Caenorhabditis elegans: one gene and its partner. Changing the gene in region 2 together with the main gene of any one other region gives a genetic interaction. Each region holds a gene or a part of one and is shown on either strand. Other genes may lie near its edges. The genes, in order: ksr-1 and par-5.

What was found.
Region 1: of par-5 (region 2) and ksr-1, changing one enhances a phenotype caused by changing the other (phenotypic enhancement), as found in Caenorhabditis elegans (one large-scale study listed by BioGRID).

The regions. Positions count from the first base shown.
Region 1 is NC_003284.9:8,271,957-8,280,012, reverse strand, and holds the start of ksr-1 (Kinase suppressor of Ras A), read right to left. Parts: upstream 4,845-8,056; 5' UTR 4,795-4,844; coding exon 4,689-4,794; intron 4,647-4,688; coding exon 4,576-4,646; intron 3,935-4,575; coding exon 3,758-3,934; intron 2,604-3,757; coding exon 2,513-2,603; intron 1,515-2,512; coding exon 1,368-1,514; intron 520-1,367; coding exon 351-519; intron 276-350; coding exon 170-275; intron 122-169; coding exon 1-121. UniProt on the Caenorhabditis elegans protein: Serine/threonine-protein kinase which positively regulates Ras-mediated signaling probably acting at the level of let-60/ras or/and lin-45/raf. Involved in sex myoblast migration.
Region 2 is NC_003282.8:11,818,319-11,826,374, reverse strand, and holds par-5 (14-3-3-like protein 1), read left to right. Parts: upstream 1-4,457; 5' UTR 4,458-4,477; coding exon 4,478-4,567; intron 4,568-4,615; coding exon 4,616-4,786; intron 4,787-4,851; coding exon 4,852-5,043; intron 5,044-5,090; coding exon 5,091-5,384; intron 5,385-5,486; 3' UTR 5,487-5,550; intron 5,551-5,594; 3' UTR 5,595-5,869; downstream 5,870-8,056. Other genes in the region: M117.3 (14-3-3 domain-containing protein), read right to left, coding at 2,437-2,727, 2,773-2,859; M117.1 (Major facilitator superfamily (MFS) profile domain-containing protein), read right to left, coding at 6,939-7,102, 7,155-7,261, 7,312-7,586, 7,808-8,056. UniProt on the Caenorhabditis elegans protein: Required to modulate lifespan, in concert with hcf-1, acting redundantly with 14-3-3-like protein ftt-2.

The DNA of each region.
Region 1 (8,056 bases), on a different chromosome or scaffold from region 2:
GTGTCGATGGAGCCGAACTATTTGTAGAAGACGATGAATCGATCGCCGTGTCCGGAAACTGGAACGCTGGCTCATTCATGGACCGTGAGCCTGGCACTGATTGAGGGTCTTTCCACATGCCCTGAAAAAAAGTATTACATCCATTTGAAGATGAACTCAGTATACTAACCCCATTATTTTCTTGAATGAGCTTGTCGAAAAGGAAACGTAAATGATCGGGTGTCAATCCACACGAATCTCCAACACGTCCTTTGCACTGCGTGTGGACCTTCCATCTGAAATTTCCGGTGAGTTATATTTGTGTATACCGGTGTGAAAATAAAATTTAAACATTAGAGGAAAAAACCTACTTGCACGACCTGCACTTCTCCCAGGCGTTTAGAAACCCAAATCCTAAAGGTCTTTGACAAAAATGACAAACTGCATCACCGCTAAACCGGAATTTTGTTGATCTGTGCCATTTGTGAGGAATTGCATGTACAAGCCGGGATGATGTTTTTGGAGATTTTGGTGTCGTAGCTAGAACATTTTTCACTTTAATAACTTTTTCTGTTTTTTTATTCGAATGTGATATTTAAATGAAAACTTTTTTCAAAATTAACTAGTACTAACGTGCCAAAAAGGCCAAATTTCGTCAAAAAGTTTTGCTTCTTTTATAAATTTTTCAAAAATATTATTTTACCTTCAATTATTAGTAAAACATTTAAACTAGTATGTTTATCACACATTTTCTTGTTCCGTCTGAGATTTTGAGCCAGGATTACACTGAGTAAATTTTCAACGGCTGATTTTTACTTGAATTGCCGTATGATGGTATGCATAGAATTTTTTTAAAGCCAATTAGTCTCAAAGATGAATAACCCTTTTTTAGAGAATTTGAAACGCTTTGTCGCAAAAAAGTTTTTTTCCATCCCGAAAATCGTTGTAATTGTCTCAAATAATGAAAAGTGTACCAACAAAAATGTTAATTGTTTTGCTTTCTGTTTGTAAAAAAATATTTTATCACTATTTGCAACAATTCTTCTGCAAAGACCCCTAGTTTTGAATTCAGTTTTTGTACATAATAGTATCTCAAACTTATCAGTAATTCAAAATTCTATCATCAAATATTACTTGCATTTTCAACCAAAAGCCTCAACTATCCAACTTTTAGAAAGCTGACAGCTTATCCCACTCCTCAATGTTTTTGGCAAATTAGTCAGTCTGGTCTTCCAACTATTAACTAATATTCTCACGCTAAGCATTTGTCACATGTGCGTCTCATAAAGTTTTCATTTGACACTTGCGAGAATTGCTTCAGAATGAATAATTGCAAAACCGCAGTGCAAAATTTTTGTTTGCTATTTTTTGAAAGTTCAAAAACTAACCAAATCCCATACTAGATGACTGAATCATTTTGGCACTTGTGACTGAAAGTGAAGGAACGTTAAACTTCGGACTTGGCGTAACAATTGCTGGTGTTGACTGTCCTGACGGCTCGTCAGTGGATCCACTTGATGTGCGACTGTGATACGCTAAAAATAATTGAGATTTAGTTTATGTAGATGAACTGATGTTTGTTTTGAATTGATACCGTATATCATTTACATGAACGTTTGCAAAAACTGAATGATTAAACATCACATGATCTAATTCACTTTTCCTGACAAAATTACATCAATTGTATTAATTGTACATGTTTTAAATAAAATAAAACAATTCCATAAACATTTTGTGAAAAGGTTTCATTCTAAGAACAAATTATTTTCACAACATTTTTTCGAAGTAGATGAACCATAGAGAACATTTGAAAGATGTGCGGTATTTCTATGTCAAATTTGCTGGTTCAATGTGTATCATTACACTACATTTTAAAAATTTTAATTTGAATAAAAGAATAAGGTTGATTTTTTAATTCTCAGGCTGCTTAAAGTATTAATTCTAAAATTAACAAATAAACCGAAAACGACGTTTGAAGGCGGACTCCGATCTGCGGGGGAAGTTTTTCAAAACCATTCCTATGGTACAAAAATAATCAAATATACCATAATAAAATTATTCCAAAAACTTTGGAAAGTTTTTTTTATTTAAAATCAAAAAGCTCAATACTAAATGGTCACCAGTTTTTGCGGAAGTCCTCCATCATAAAATTTTCCATTTTTTATTTCAATTACATTCAAAATATTCAAATTTTAAAATGTATGGGGTTTGAACATTTGACAGTGATTTAAATTTTCAAGAAGTGGAGCAAACTCAGTATAAAATATGCTTCAAAATTGTTTTAATAAAAACCGTCTTGTTTTTTTTTAATTTTGCAGTTACCATCTCGGGATTGATTAAAGTTAAATTTTAAAGTTTGATTAAAAAATGTCAAATTACTGGTTTTGAGACTATAAATTTTTATGAAAATAACTAGAAAAGTAAGGAATTTTGAGAACATTTTCAAAAAATAACAGTTGCAAAATTTTCGTGGCAAGAATTATTTTCTTCTACATTTTACTTAATACAAATTTTCAAATTGCCGCACACTTACCGTTCCAGTGATTTTGTAAAATCACTGTAGATTGAAGCAACTTTCGTTTGGTCTCCACATCAAGACGACCACGATCCGCAAGCGATCGCAACTGAAATAAACTTTTATGTTTGGGTTCAAATGTTCAGAAGGCGGAGCACAGAGAAACTCGGTTAAAAGTAATGAAACGAGCAATAGAAGTTTGATAACATGCAGACAAGAGTGAAAACAACTCGTAGAAATGTAACAGGTGTTGTTGGAACACGAATGACGTTACCGAGTATACGGAGGCAATGCAAAAAAACAAAAACGTGTATGCTTTGGATCGCTAAAAACAATGAATGTTCCAGAAATGCTTCAGCATAGTTGTTCTCACAAAAAACATTCATTCAAAATCAACTCTAATATTTTGGCCAATTATCATATGAAAGGCCACTTGAAGTTTTCAAGTTTTGTTTCGAATTCAAATTTAACAATTGATTTGTTCAATGTTGTTGTAAATTAAATGGTAAAGTTATCTTAAAAAATTTGACAAATCAAGTTTTAAAAAAATCTTCAATGAAAAAAAGGAAATTTTTAAATCTGAAAAATTACCAAACTAGTTGATTTGTCAGATAAAAGTAAGACAAATTTCATTTCGAAAAACACTTCCTGCTGCAAAATGACTAAATGAAAAGTCGAAACTCAAATTCAAACAATTACGAAATGAGATGATAAAAATCAGTCAGATACATGACTTATGCATGTGCTAGCTGAGAGAAAGTTCGTGAGTCTTAAAAAACAACAATGAGCAGAATATCAATAGGTAACAATTAACCTAATCCTCTTTTTCTGTTTACTCTTCTTTTTTTGGATAACAAATTAGCTCACAAAAATCAGGAAAAAAACGGAGAGAGCTGCAGTTTTCTGGCCTCTAGAGAAAGAGAAGAGTGGGAAAGGAAAGGAGAGAAATGCAGAAAGTAGAAGGTGAAAAGAAAGAAAGAAGAGACGGAAACAGAAACGGAAAAACGAGAGGGAAAGAGCGTCAAAGCGCACTCCCAAACACCCCAAACCAATGGGAAGCGTAGAGGGAAATGAAAAGAAGTTTAAGAATAAAACGATAATGTTGAAGGTTGTGACCCGAATCAGCAGAAAGACATTTAGAAGGATATAGATATGCCTAGAACCCGATTTGTGAGTGTTTGTATGTTTCTGTTAGGTGTAAAATCAGGAAATGATGTGTGAGAAAAGAGAGAAAAGGTAGAGCAAAAAAGAGAAGGATCAAACCTCTTGGTTAGTGATGCTGAACAGAGCATTGAAATCGGTGATCGAGCAAATCTCCAAGTGCCGAATGTTTTGTGCGCTGAGCCCGACAAATGTGAACCAAATGGCGTTGATCTCACGCTTCTCGCGATCAATCAAACCAATTTTTGTCATTTGATAAACGGCCGAGAATATTTTGCGCTGTAAATTGAGAATCATTGGAATTTAGTTGACGTCAATGAAAGATTTCAGACCATTTGTTTCAGGTTGTTTCACCTTTTCATCTGTCTCTGATATCTTGATTACTAAAATTCGTAGAAAAAAAGAGTTACATTCACTTAAAGTTTTTAAATCTATTTTTTAAAAGCTTTGATATTTTGATATTTTTTCATATTCAAAATATCATAAACTCACTAAATTTAAAACATTTGAAAATCAACATTTGTTTGAAAGTAAGTTTCAGTTTTTCAAATATAACGATTAGCGTTTCATGCACGAAGTTGTGCATCTAAATTTTTAATTTTTTAAATTTATTATCAAAATACCATTATAGAATTTAATTATACAAATAAACTTTACAGTATAAACGGAAAACGTCTAGAAAAACGTTTAGTACCACAGATTGGTTTACCACAAAGATCTAAAACAATTTGGACTGAGGTGTCAATATATGTATAGTGTATTTTATGAACAAAACTTTAAAGCATCTTAAAAATTTTTTCTGCTGAATGAAGACTAGTCTGTCTTGAATTCATTTATTTACAGTTTATAAAACAACGATGCTCACGAATAGGAGAAGTTTGAATTTTTACAAAAGTTGTTTTTTTTTCAAAAAAACTTACTTCTACACTTTTTGCATCTTCTTCGTATGATGAAGTCAAAAATCGATTGATAGTGGTAAGTTTCAAACATTCTGCAACTTCGAATTGTTTTTTTTTAAATTTTTTTTACTAACCCTTCAAATTATTTATAGCCTGTGTCTTTATATCCTGTGCGATTCCTGCACCAAACTGCGGTAGATTACTGTATCCCGCACGTGATGCAACTTGGGTTTGCATCATTCTGTGTATTGATATTATTGGTTAGTTTTTACCTTCTCCGGATCTTTTCCCTGAAATAAATCTTTCGTTGGTTGAGCACAACGTTCAAAAGGTTGCCAAGAAAAAACAGTGCTGGTTTTTGGTCAACTTTTGGAAATCCCCGGTGCAAACGGAGCACGCTGTGAGCTCACACGTGCGCCACACTCTTTTTTGCTTGGTTTCTCATTTTGTGTATGTGTGTGTGTCGTCGCAATTATCAAATGGCTCCCTGTGAGCTCATCCTTCGTTTATGTATGTGTGGTAGTGGGAGCAGGGCAATACGAATGTATTTGGTGCTTTAGAAAGGCGTTAAATGACTAGAAAAGCAAACGAGCAAGTAATATTGAAAAGTGCCGAGTTTTTTCTGTTAGTATGGTTTGCATTCGTACTGTAAGGGAGCAAGACAATTAGAGAAAATATGTGTATGCCCCACAGTACAGTCAGAAATTTCAATTCATGAGTTAGTAAAATCTACAATATTTTCTTCCTACAAATTCCATCACAATTGGATGTTTACAATTCAAAGTCAAATTGCGATGACCAATATAAGTATGCTTACAGTTTGTTTACTATTACAACATCATCTACTCAAAAAAGGTGTGTATTAACCTTCTAGAAAAGTCGAAATCGTCCGGAAAGTAAATTAAAAGCTTTCGGCGGCTTTCTGCCATCGAAATTGTGAAGGTTGCGTGGCGAACAATTATGAGACAGGTTATGTACATTACTCAATTTAGAAGTGACGAGAAGAAAAGAAGAATTGGTATTTTCGACCACATTTTCTTTTCCGGTGGTTAGATTAGACTTATTACATCACAATGTCCCGATTTTTTTCAATGGCATTCTACTTTTATTTTGGCTTCTTTTGTTTCTTTAATTAGAATACTGTTCCAAATCCAATAATTGTACTCTACCAATATTAAATGTGTTTTTTTATTGAGTAGAAATATTCAACTATTTCACTTAAAAAATCGATTATCCTTTATCATCACTCCTAAGTAATTATAGTTTATCAATTTGAGTTTTACATTTTCCTAGCTTTGCGTATTAAAACTACCACAAATACAAAAATTAGGAAGCTTAACTTTTCTTTCTTTTTTAATTTTTCGCTTTCACATGAAATACCGAACAACAGTATGGCGCTTAAAAATTAAGCAATGCCGACCGAAAAGAGTAGTTGTGAGAAAAAATTGCCATAAGGCTTTGGTCGGAAGTTAAAAGAAACGTTGCATTCAAATACTGTTCAATATATTGGAGAAAATAATGCTAGAATGCTGAGAGTTGTGGAAAGAGAAAGAGGAAGAAAGATCGGCGTGCAAGCAAACAAACTGTTTGAACGTGATGAAGAGAAAAGGGGAGAACGGTGTGGATTGACAGTAGGAATAGTAGGAAAGGACGCAAAAATGTCGGGAAGACGGGAGGATGGGGGGAATAGTGTATGAATAAGAGAGAGAGGAGACTGTATGTCTATGGGGTGAGAGAAAATGGTCCGCAATGAGAAGACCACAACAGGTGTTCAAAATGTTGCGTAATCAACTTAAGAGTAGGTCAAGATTCATACCAGGAATGCATTGAACAAGCTTTTAGTTCCTGGTTTGCTGGCAGATCACAACTAATTTAGTGTAACATCTCGGCAAAGTCAACATTAAAAATGTTGTTCCTGCTCGATGAAAATTTTGAAAGTAATTATGGGTAGTTTGTTGAACGTGCCAAAAACTATGGTAAAGTTAGCCAAAAATTAGGGTAAAATATAAGTACTGAAGTAATAGCAATTACGTTTTAAAAGACGACTAATGGACCAAAATGTTTAGACTGTGTTTTAAAAAGAGACTTCTCAAAAAATGCTGTTTAAAATGAAAACCGATTGTATTTAGCAGAAAAATTTAAAGTTTACAAATTTATACGCGTCGCAGCGGACAACAAACATTTTTTGTTGAACTATCACTATTCATTGATTTTAGTCCTTTATTACAAATTTTATGATAAAAGACGTGAATTTGGATGTGCATTGACAGGCAACCAATTTCGGTTTTTCGAATGGACATTTACTAAAATTCTCCTGTTTTCTCTATTAGTATTGTCTCAGTCTGTTTACATTTGGAAACCCATAGCTTGTTTATTTTTTAATTTTATGGAAAATTGTTATCAAACAAAAATGTACAGTATCTTTATCTACATACTTTTAATTGTCCATTTTCGGAAAACTAGAAATCGATTCAAGACATAACTTGTCAAAATAAAGTAATTGAGCGGAACACTAATAGAAAAAAAGAAAACACAAAATATACAACTAATATATGCAATAAAGAGTGAAAATTAGGTTAAACTGATTTTGAGCCCCTGTAACACATAAGAATGACATAACAAGATATGATGTAGATTTTGACTTTTCTCTTCAAAATTTTGAACTACCATAGATCCTTCTTGTTAGGAAAATATGATCATATTTTCTTTTAAAGTTTCAAAAAACGTTGTGAATTTCTGCTTTCAAAATACTACTTGAAAATTAAAATAGCTTTAACATAATTGAACACTTTCTATTAATGAATAAATAAGCTTTCGTCCTCCGGAATTCCGCTGTGAAAAAATGTGTCCAATTCTAAAAAATATGAACTCATGAGTTCCTTATTATTATTTTTGCATGATTTCCTCATGACACAGTCGCGATAACTAACCAAATTGAATTGCGATCTCAAATCAGAACATTGAGCGAACAAAAGGTGGAAAGCCTAAGAGAATGCATTCCTATTTCGTTGGCTCCAGTTTCAGAAATCCATGCCATTTTGGCCGGAAACGTGCACTCAAAGTGGTTGCCGCTACCAGAAGTCTATTGTGTGCGTGTATTGTGTACATTTTATATGAGAATGTGATATTGAGCTTTAATGAAACATTGAACTCATTTTGAATTTGAATGTTGAATTGAGTATTTTGTAAGAGAGCAATTTGGTCATTTCATATTCTGAATAACAAAAAAATGCGGGAGGTTGCTTACAGGCTGAGATCAGAATCCCAAATAATAAGGAAAGTTGATACTTTAATATTTTATTCATATAAGGGCATTAAGCAATGTTCAGTTGTTTTTTACTGCATTTGTAAAAGCAAAAAAAGACAAAAATGGGATATGCAAAAATAAACTGAAAATAAGAATTCTGAAAAATTGTTCTGAAAACTGCAAATGGAAAATTATTCTGAAGCTTTACATTATTCTGAAGCTTTGTTGTGTTTGAACATTATTGTAAAATTGGAA
Region 2 (8,056 bases):
TCATTTTTTTTTGGAACTATCGCCGAAATTTTGCTCTCCGGTGTGGATAGTATTGAAAAATCAATTATTTTCTCCTCAAACTTATTACTGAAGATCAACTTTAAGAACAAAAAATGCAACAGTTCTCAGTTTTGGATAAAAATTAAACGACTCTTTTACGTCAAAATAGATTCATTCATTTTATGACAGGACGTTTCCTTGTTCAAACGATTTGTTAATTGGTCATTAAAACATACTTTTTTCCGCTGAGTTATATATAGGATGTAGAACTTAATGCCTTTTTCGAAAATAAGGATTCTACTGTAGCTCAATTTTTAATCTGAAATCGTGTTTTGAACATTTTAATTAAAGAAATAACAAATTAGGCACTTTTTGACTAATATCTGATTACCGTATATTCTCTATCAGTGCTGCATGTAACACTAATTTCCAGGCGCTTTTCGAATCCAGCACTATTAGAGACTGCAGTACTACTGGAGATGCAGCACTAATAAAGAATATATGGTAATTTGTGAAAAGTTTTCGAATAAAAAGTTTGAAAAAATTTCGACATCGGAAATTGTTTTCAAAACAAAAAAAAAACAAAAATTTTTAAGTATCATCAAAAATTTCTTACTATTAGATATTGCAGAAAAAAGTTGTATTTCCTGCTTGAATAAATTTCTAGCCAAATTCAATACTTTCGGTAAGGCAGCCCAACATTCTTTGGAGCTCTGAACAAAGAAACGTCCTATCATATTATTTACATATGCATCTTTTTTGAAAAAGTGAGTTAATGAGCAAAGTAAGTCAATGAGAGAGAATTAAATAAGTATTTGCCAACAAAAAAGCTTTTGAGGCAACATATGGTCTAAAAACCGTAAGTACAGTTTGTGCCATTTTCGTTTTCGTTTTCGTTTTCGTGTTTTAAAACGAAAATTTTCGTTTTCGTTTTCGAAAATGGAATTTCGAAAAAGTCCCAGCCCTGGTGGGAAAATGGGAAGATAAATATGAAGAAATGATTTGCCCCAAAAGATTTGGAAAATGATACTGTTCTAAAATTATATTTTTTCGAAATTTTTTTATTCGCAAAATTAAATTTTTGAATTGCCACTAGGGCTCACAGTGGTGAAGGTACACTCAAAACTTAGCAAATGACACTGTTTTTTTAGATGTCTTTTTTTAGATTTTCTAATGAAAACCATTTAGTGAAAAAGTTAGTTATCTATTCAGTTGAGGAATTAATAACTCAAAGTGATTCTGGGATGTATATACAATACTGCTGCATTTCTCACAACTTTATCTCGACCACCAATTTTTTTTGATGAAAAACCATCAACTAAAAAGTTGTACTTCAGATTAAAATAATCAACTTTGTAGTTGACAACTTTGCCATAAAATTTTTTCCACGGAGATGTAAGCATCCAAAGTGAACTCGATTTTGGAACATGTTCAACTATACCTCAGGTTTTTGACTGAAATTGTGTTCTGAACATCCAAAGTTTTTTTCAGAAAATTTAAATTTCCCGCCAAAATGTTTTTTATTCAGAAAATTTAAGTTTCCCGCCAAAAAAGTATTCTTCAGAAAAGTTGAATTTCCCGCCAAAATGTTTTTTAGAAAATTTGAATTTCCCGCTAAAATGACTTTTTCAGAAAATTTAAACTTCCCGCCAAAATTATTCTCAGGAAATTTGAATTTTTCGCCAGAAGGTCTCACCACGATGTGTCTACAGTATAAAATCTACAGTAATCCTACAGTACTCCTACAGTACCTCTACAGTACCTCTACAGTACTACTACAGCACCCCGACCATGTCACTCCATTAACCCTAAACCAATATCCCTTTACCAACCGTGGACCGCACCTCCGGCGCGGCCCCCGACTTCTGGAGCTGAAAAGTAATTTTTCTGAAACTACCGTAATCATACAGTACTCCTACCGTATCACTATTGTAATACTACAGTACTCCGATTATATCTGTACACTAACCCCAACTCACAATCCCTCCAGAAGCTAAAACTTCGCAGACTATAAAGACTACATACAAACTATGAACAAACGGAATAAGCGCTTTGTATATATAGTAAATGATAATCCAAAACTTTGCACACTACAAAGCCTGCATACACTACAAACTCCGGAGTCCGGACAGACTAACTGTATTTTTTTAAAATATAAGCAATAATGATGCTGAGCATCAAAGGGATTGAGCCATCGTTAGGGATTGAGCGTTCAAGTGAAGGAGCACGCTAGTAAATGAGGGTTTGCCCCGAACCGACGCCACCCACCGAAGAAGACGACCTGGACTTCAAGTCCTCTCCACCCTCATTACCACCATCACTCGCTCCTACTTCAAAAAATGAATGCGTTTCAGCATATTCCCTTGTTTTCTCAAGAAAAAATCATAAGAAACATGTTTTTTCACTGCGAAAAAAAATTGAATATCCAGAAAAATTTCAATTATCAGCCTCTTCTCCTTCTTTTCCGTCGACACGCTGCTCGTGAGTACTCTTCAATAGATCGTAAAGTGTACGAGCACGTTTCAAGTTCGAGATATCGTACGAATCCAGTGAGCTCTTCATCTTCTCCAATTCGCGATGAGCACTATCAAGAGCACTCTGTGCAATTTCGTTGGCTTCTTTGGGAAGATTCAGGACATCGAAGTTTAAGGCGCTTGCATTGAGGGCAAGTCCAAGGCGAATTGGGTGAGTTGGCTGCATCTTGTCCTTAGCGATACCAAGAGCCTCCTGAAAGTCATTTCATTTACATCAAGAATTTAGTTATTCAAATACCTGATAAGCGATTCGCGACTTGTGTGCATGCTCTTCTCTGTTGATATCGTCGTATTGGACCAGATACCTAAAATGGTCGGCGACCATGCCACCGAAGAGAGCCTTAGTTTCATCATTTAGCGCATAGTCTCAAGCCAAACAGGCGGGGCAGTTCAAAAATAGTTTGATATATAGTTTGATATAGTTTGATGAATAGTGGCGTGGAGTACGGTTTCGCGGCAATTCAAATACTACTATTCTTGAGACCAGACGAATCGGACGATTAACGGCGGCGAGGGATTCGGATCGGGGGAACCCAATCTGTGGGACGGGCCACGCCCACGATCAAATTTTGCAACCTCCGCACGGTTCTATGGGCGTGGCCAATCCCCCGATGTCAACAAATTTTAAAAAAAACCTTCCCCGATTTTATAAATATTTCAGCTTGAAATCGCGATGTTCATTTGCGAACTCGAGGCATTTTCGAAACGTTAAATGTTCCCGCGCAATAATGCTCCGCTGAACAGTGCACGCTTTTTGTGTAGATTCATTTAAATATTCATTTTCCGTCAGATTTCATGTAGAAACCCAAAGATTCGCTCATTTCGCTGCTCGATCTTTTCTTTTTCTTCATTCAACCGTATATTATATGCATTTTTCGTTTAAACGTTTTTCAAAAATTTTTAAAAATTGCTTACAATCTTCTTTGTAAAAAGAATATATTTTGCAACCAATTTTTTCGATTCTCCATGGAAAACTTATCAATTTAAACTGCATTCACTGTTACACTGATAATGCTTTGAACGACGGCGGTCGGAGAACTTCCAACCGATTACTGTTCTCCAATTTCATGTTTCTAGAAAAAAAGAAATTTCTGTCGTTTCATAACATGTTTTAACACGCAGAGCCTTTTTTTTTCGAATGAACCGCCATTTTCTTTAAAGGCGCAAGCTATTCCCTCTGCGCGATATTTCGCCGCGAAAAAAGAAGCCCCGCGAAAAAACGTATTCGAACCGCGGAATTTCCGCGAATTTGTTGCTGGTTTCTTCTAGAATTCAACGATTCAATGCTCATTTCATCACAATTTTTTTTTGTAAAATTATCCTTCTCGCTTTTATGCTCCTCTTGCCCTCAATTTTCTGTCTAAAAGCTATCATTTCCTCTGATTTCTTCCTCGATTTTCAAATGTTGGCCCAAAATAGTGATTTTTTCTTTAATTATATCCTAATCCCCACCAACACGATTTAGCAATTCTCGAAAATTATTTTTTTGCGTTGTTCAGGTAAAAGTCCTGACGAAACCTCCTGAGTTTTGTGTAACGTGCTCACCGAAAGATTAGTGTGCTTGCTGCGCCCGTTGTCACCACTGCCATTCATCCTTCTATTCCCGTGTTTTCTTATCAAATGCCCAAAAAATCTGAAATTTTTTGTGTAGACAATGCTATATATGAGGAGCGAATGTGTGCGCCAGAGAAAAAGACGGACAGACACAAATTGAGTGAGTGTGCGTTGCCCACTTTAGTTGTTGTCATGCGACGGCGGCGGCACGCGCTCTCTCATCGGCCGGCACTGCTGTCCATCGATTTTTCTTCTTTCAAACGTCGTGCGGGCTGTTTCGAATGTTCTAGGGCTCTCCGTTTCGATTATTACTCTCGCCTATGTTCTTCTCTTTTCGTTCTCAATATTTCATTATAAATTTTGTTTCAGAAGACTTGCTCACTGAAAAAATGTCCGATACCGTGGAAGAGCTCGTTCAACGCGCCAAGCTTGCCGAACAAGCCGAGCGATACGATGATATGGCTGCCGCCATGAAGAAAGTAAGATAAAACATCATTTACGGAGGTTTCAAATTTACTATTTTTCAGGTGACCGAGCAGGGACAGGAGCTTTCCAACGAAGAGCGTAACCTTCTCTCTGTTGCCTACAAAAACGTCGTCGGAGCTCGCCGTTCATCGTGGAGAGTTATCTCTTCCATTGAGCAAAAGACCGAGGGATCCGAGAAGAAGCAACAACTCGCCAAGGAATACCGCGTCAAGGTAACTACACCAAGCAAGATTTTATTAATTTCAAGAATTTTAGTAACTTATTTACATTATTTCAGGTTGAGCAAGAACTCAACGACATCTGCCAAGATGTGCTCAAGCTCCTCGACGAGTTCCTCATTGTCAAGGCTGGAGCTGCTGAGTCGAAGGTCTTCTATCTCAAGATGAAAGGAGATTACTACAGATACCTCGCCGAGGTCGCTTCAGAGGATCGCGCTGCCGTTGTTGAGAAGTCCCAGAAGGCTTACCAGGTATTTGAAAATAACTAAATTCTTGATGTAAATGGCATGACTTTCAGGAGGCTCTTGATATCGCTAAGGACAAGATGCAGCCAACCCACCCAATTCGCCTTGGACTTGCCCTCAACTTCTCTGTCTTCTACTACGAGATCTTGAACACTCCAGAGCACGCTTGCCAACTCGCGAAACAGGCTTTCGATGATGCTATTGCTGAGCTCGACACGTTGAACGAGGATTCGTACAAGGACTCGACCTTGATCATGCAACTTCTACGTGACAATCTCACTCTCTGGACATCTGACGTTGGAGCTGAAGATCAAGAGCAGGAGGGAAACCAGGAAGCTGGAAACTAAGTACGATTTCAAAATGTTTTATTGCCATTATATAAAGCTGACCTTTTTCCTCTTTTCCTTTCACATCAAATCTTGCTTCGAAAAAATAGTTTCGGTTTTCAGAGAGCTGAACTCCGTTCTCTTTCCTCGCATCTCTTCAACTTTCAGTTATCCTCCAACATTTCCGGTACGTTAGCCGAGAGAGTTGCCTAATCACCGTTTTTGTTTTAGACTTAACGTATTCACCAATACTCCATACAACACTGCGCAATAGCATCATGAAAGAAAATTCGGTCTTCAAGTGCTCTAGATCTCCAAGCCATAATTCTCTTCATGCTCTATTTCGCTGTAATTCACTCCGTCACTATTGTCATTCCTAAAATGGCGTATTGTTCTATGATTATTATGTGCTGTAAAGTATAATGAACCCCCATCTTCCATTTTTCTCTTATTATCCCCGATCTTTATTTTTAGATCTTTTTGAACATAAATGTTTGGTGAACTTTTCCGGTTGTCCGAATTTCATCACAACTTTCCAGGAGTTTTTCGAGTAATGGAATGGAATTTATTTTCAGATTTCGATGAAGGAGCATAAATAGGATAAAACATTTGCATTAACCTCTTAGAAGGTCTCAACACGAAAAATTAAATGAAATGTGAAAAAGTGTGCGCCTTTAAGCTGCCGAAAATTTTTTGATAGTTTCTTCCACGATTCGTTAAAAATTAAGTGTTTTATGGTAACATTTGAGTGTTCTTTTGAAAATAAATATATTCTTTGTCGAAAAACTATGAAACATCGATAAAAATTCCGCAGCAATAGAAGTTTAAAATTACAGTACTCTTTAAAGACTCACACCTTTTTGCGTTCAACAAATATTAGACGTGTCGAGACTAAGTACCGTACTTTTGGCGCAAAAAGCTCAAAATTTCGCTCCTGGGCAATATAATTTTCGGAAAAAAACTTAATTCTGGAGACTTCATGTGTTTTCACAGATCATGACGAGACCGATTGAGAAACATTTGGAAATACATTTTTCTTCAATATATCTTCAAAGTGGCCGATTGTATGTGATCATACGGAATAACGATGGATGTGTTTTGTGCTTTTCGGCAGATTTCGAGCTTTTGAGCCAACAATTTTCAGCGTTGTGGATGAAAAAACATGTCACGTTGTTTAATCAATTTAAAATCTTTAAAATGTAATGACTATTTTTATGGACTGCGCAGTTGCCCCATGTTGAAAAAAGATGTCAATTGCAATTACATTTTATTTTCCGTATAAGTTAAATTCAATAACCCAAAGTTCAAAAAAGTACTATTTATGAGTATTATCACGTGGTGTCAGAATGTCCCATGTCGGTTTGAACTTCGAAATATGCGGGAGTTGAGACGTAGACTGACGTCACATTTTTCTGAGAAAAAGTTATCCGCATTTTTGTAGATCATACCGTTATGGGGCAACCTGACACCACGTGTCTTATTCGAGATCCATATTTGAGTGAACACCCGGATAAGCTGGTAATCGTCTTTTCTTTTCAATTATGTGAACACTGATATGAATAATTTATTAAATAATTAATTGATTGAAGTTTCGCAGGGAAGCTGAGGCTTGCTGAGCTCTAATTCAGCGTTCAACACAAAGTCGGCTGGTTCTGAACGAGCTAGGAGAACATAGACTGTGTTGGCTACTGTAAGTGTTAAAGCATGGATCAGGAAGTAGCTGGTCCATGAGAGTTCAGCTGAAAGTGTTGAAAAAGGTTTAGTTTAGAAAGAGAATGAATTGATACTTACAATCTTCACTTCCCGGAAGCACAAGAAGAGAAAAAAGAACAGGTTCGAGCAGTGTTGCTAACGATTTGAACAATTGAATATACCCGATGACAAAGTAAGAGAATTGTCTGAAAATGTTCATTCTTGAAATTTCAAATTAATTTTTAAATCGCCTTACCTTGATATCAAAGCGGCGCCCTTATAGAATCCTCCACAATTGAACCCGAATGAAGCCTGATAGAAAGTGATGCAGATGACGTGTAGATATGGATGCTCGCGTGGCAGCAAGACTACGAGCATGAGAAAAAACGCGGGTACTTGCAATGAGATCGTGTTGAATAACCGCAACTTTGACTTTTCCGGCAGTGTACGAATACGATCGGACGCGATACCGGCGAATACTCGAACACCGATGAATAGATAACCTTTCATGGAATTCAGCCATGCATTAGCCTGGAAATTCACAAAATTGAGGGCAAATATCGGTGCAATATCGGTCTTTATTGCAATTTCGTGAAATTTTGACATGGCACTTTAAAGGCACACGCTGTTTTTCTCAGTGGGTCTCGCCACGCTCTCAACCATTGTAGTCGCTACAGGTACCAAATGTCATAGAATTGTTCATTGGATGTGGAAAATTAAGTTTGCCCCGACGTGCCTGAACACAAATTTACCTGAATATCCATTCCGAGGTATTGATAGTATTGTGCACCATATACAAGAAATACAAAACTGGCAAAAATATCGGCGAACCCGGCAACCCACACGGCCCAAACTGACTTGTCGGTGAGAACTTCTCGATACGGAGTCTTTTTTGTCTTATCTCTCTTGGTTCCTCCACCAATGTGTTGAAGCTCGTGATGTGTCATTAGGCAATGATCTTCCGGATCGTCACGATAGAACAAGAACCAGATGATTGTTGA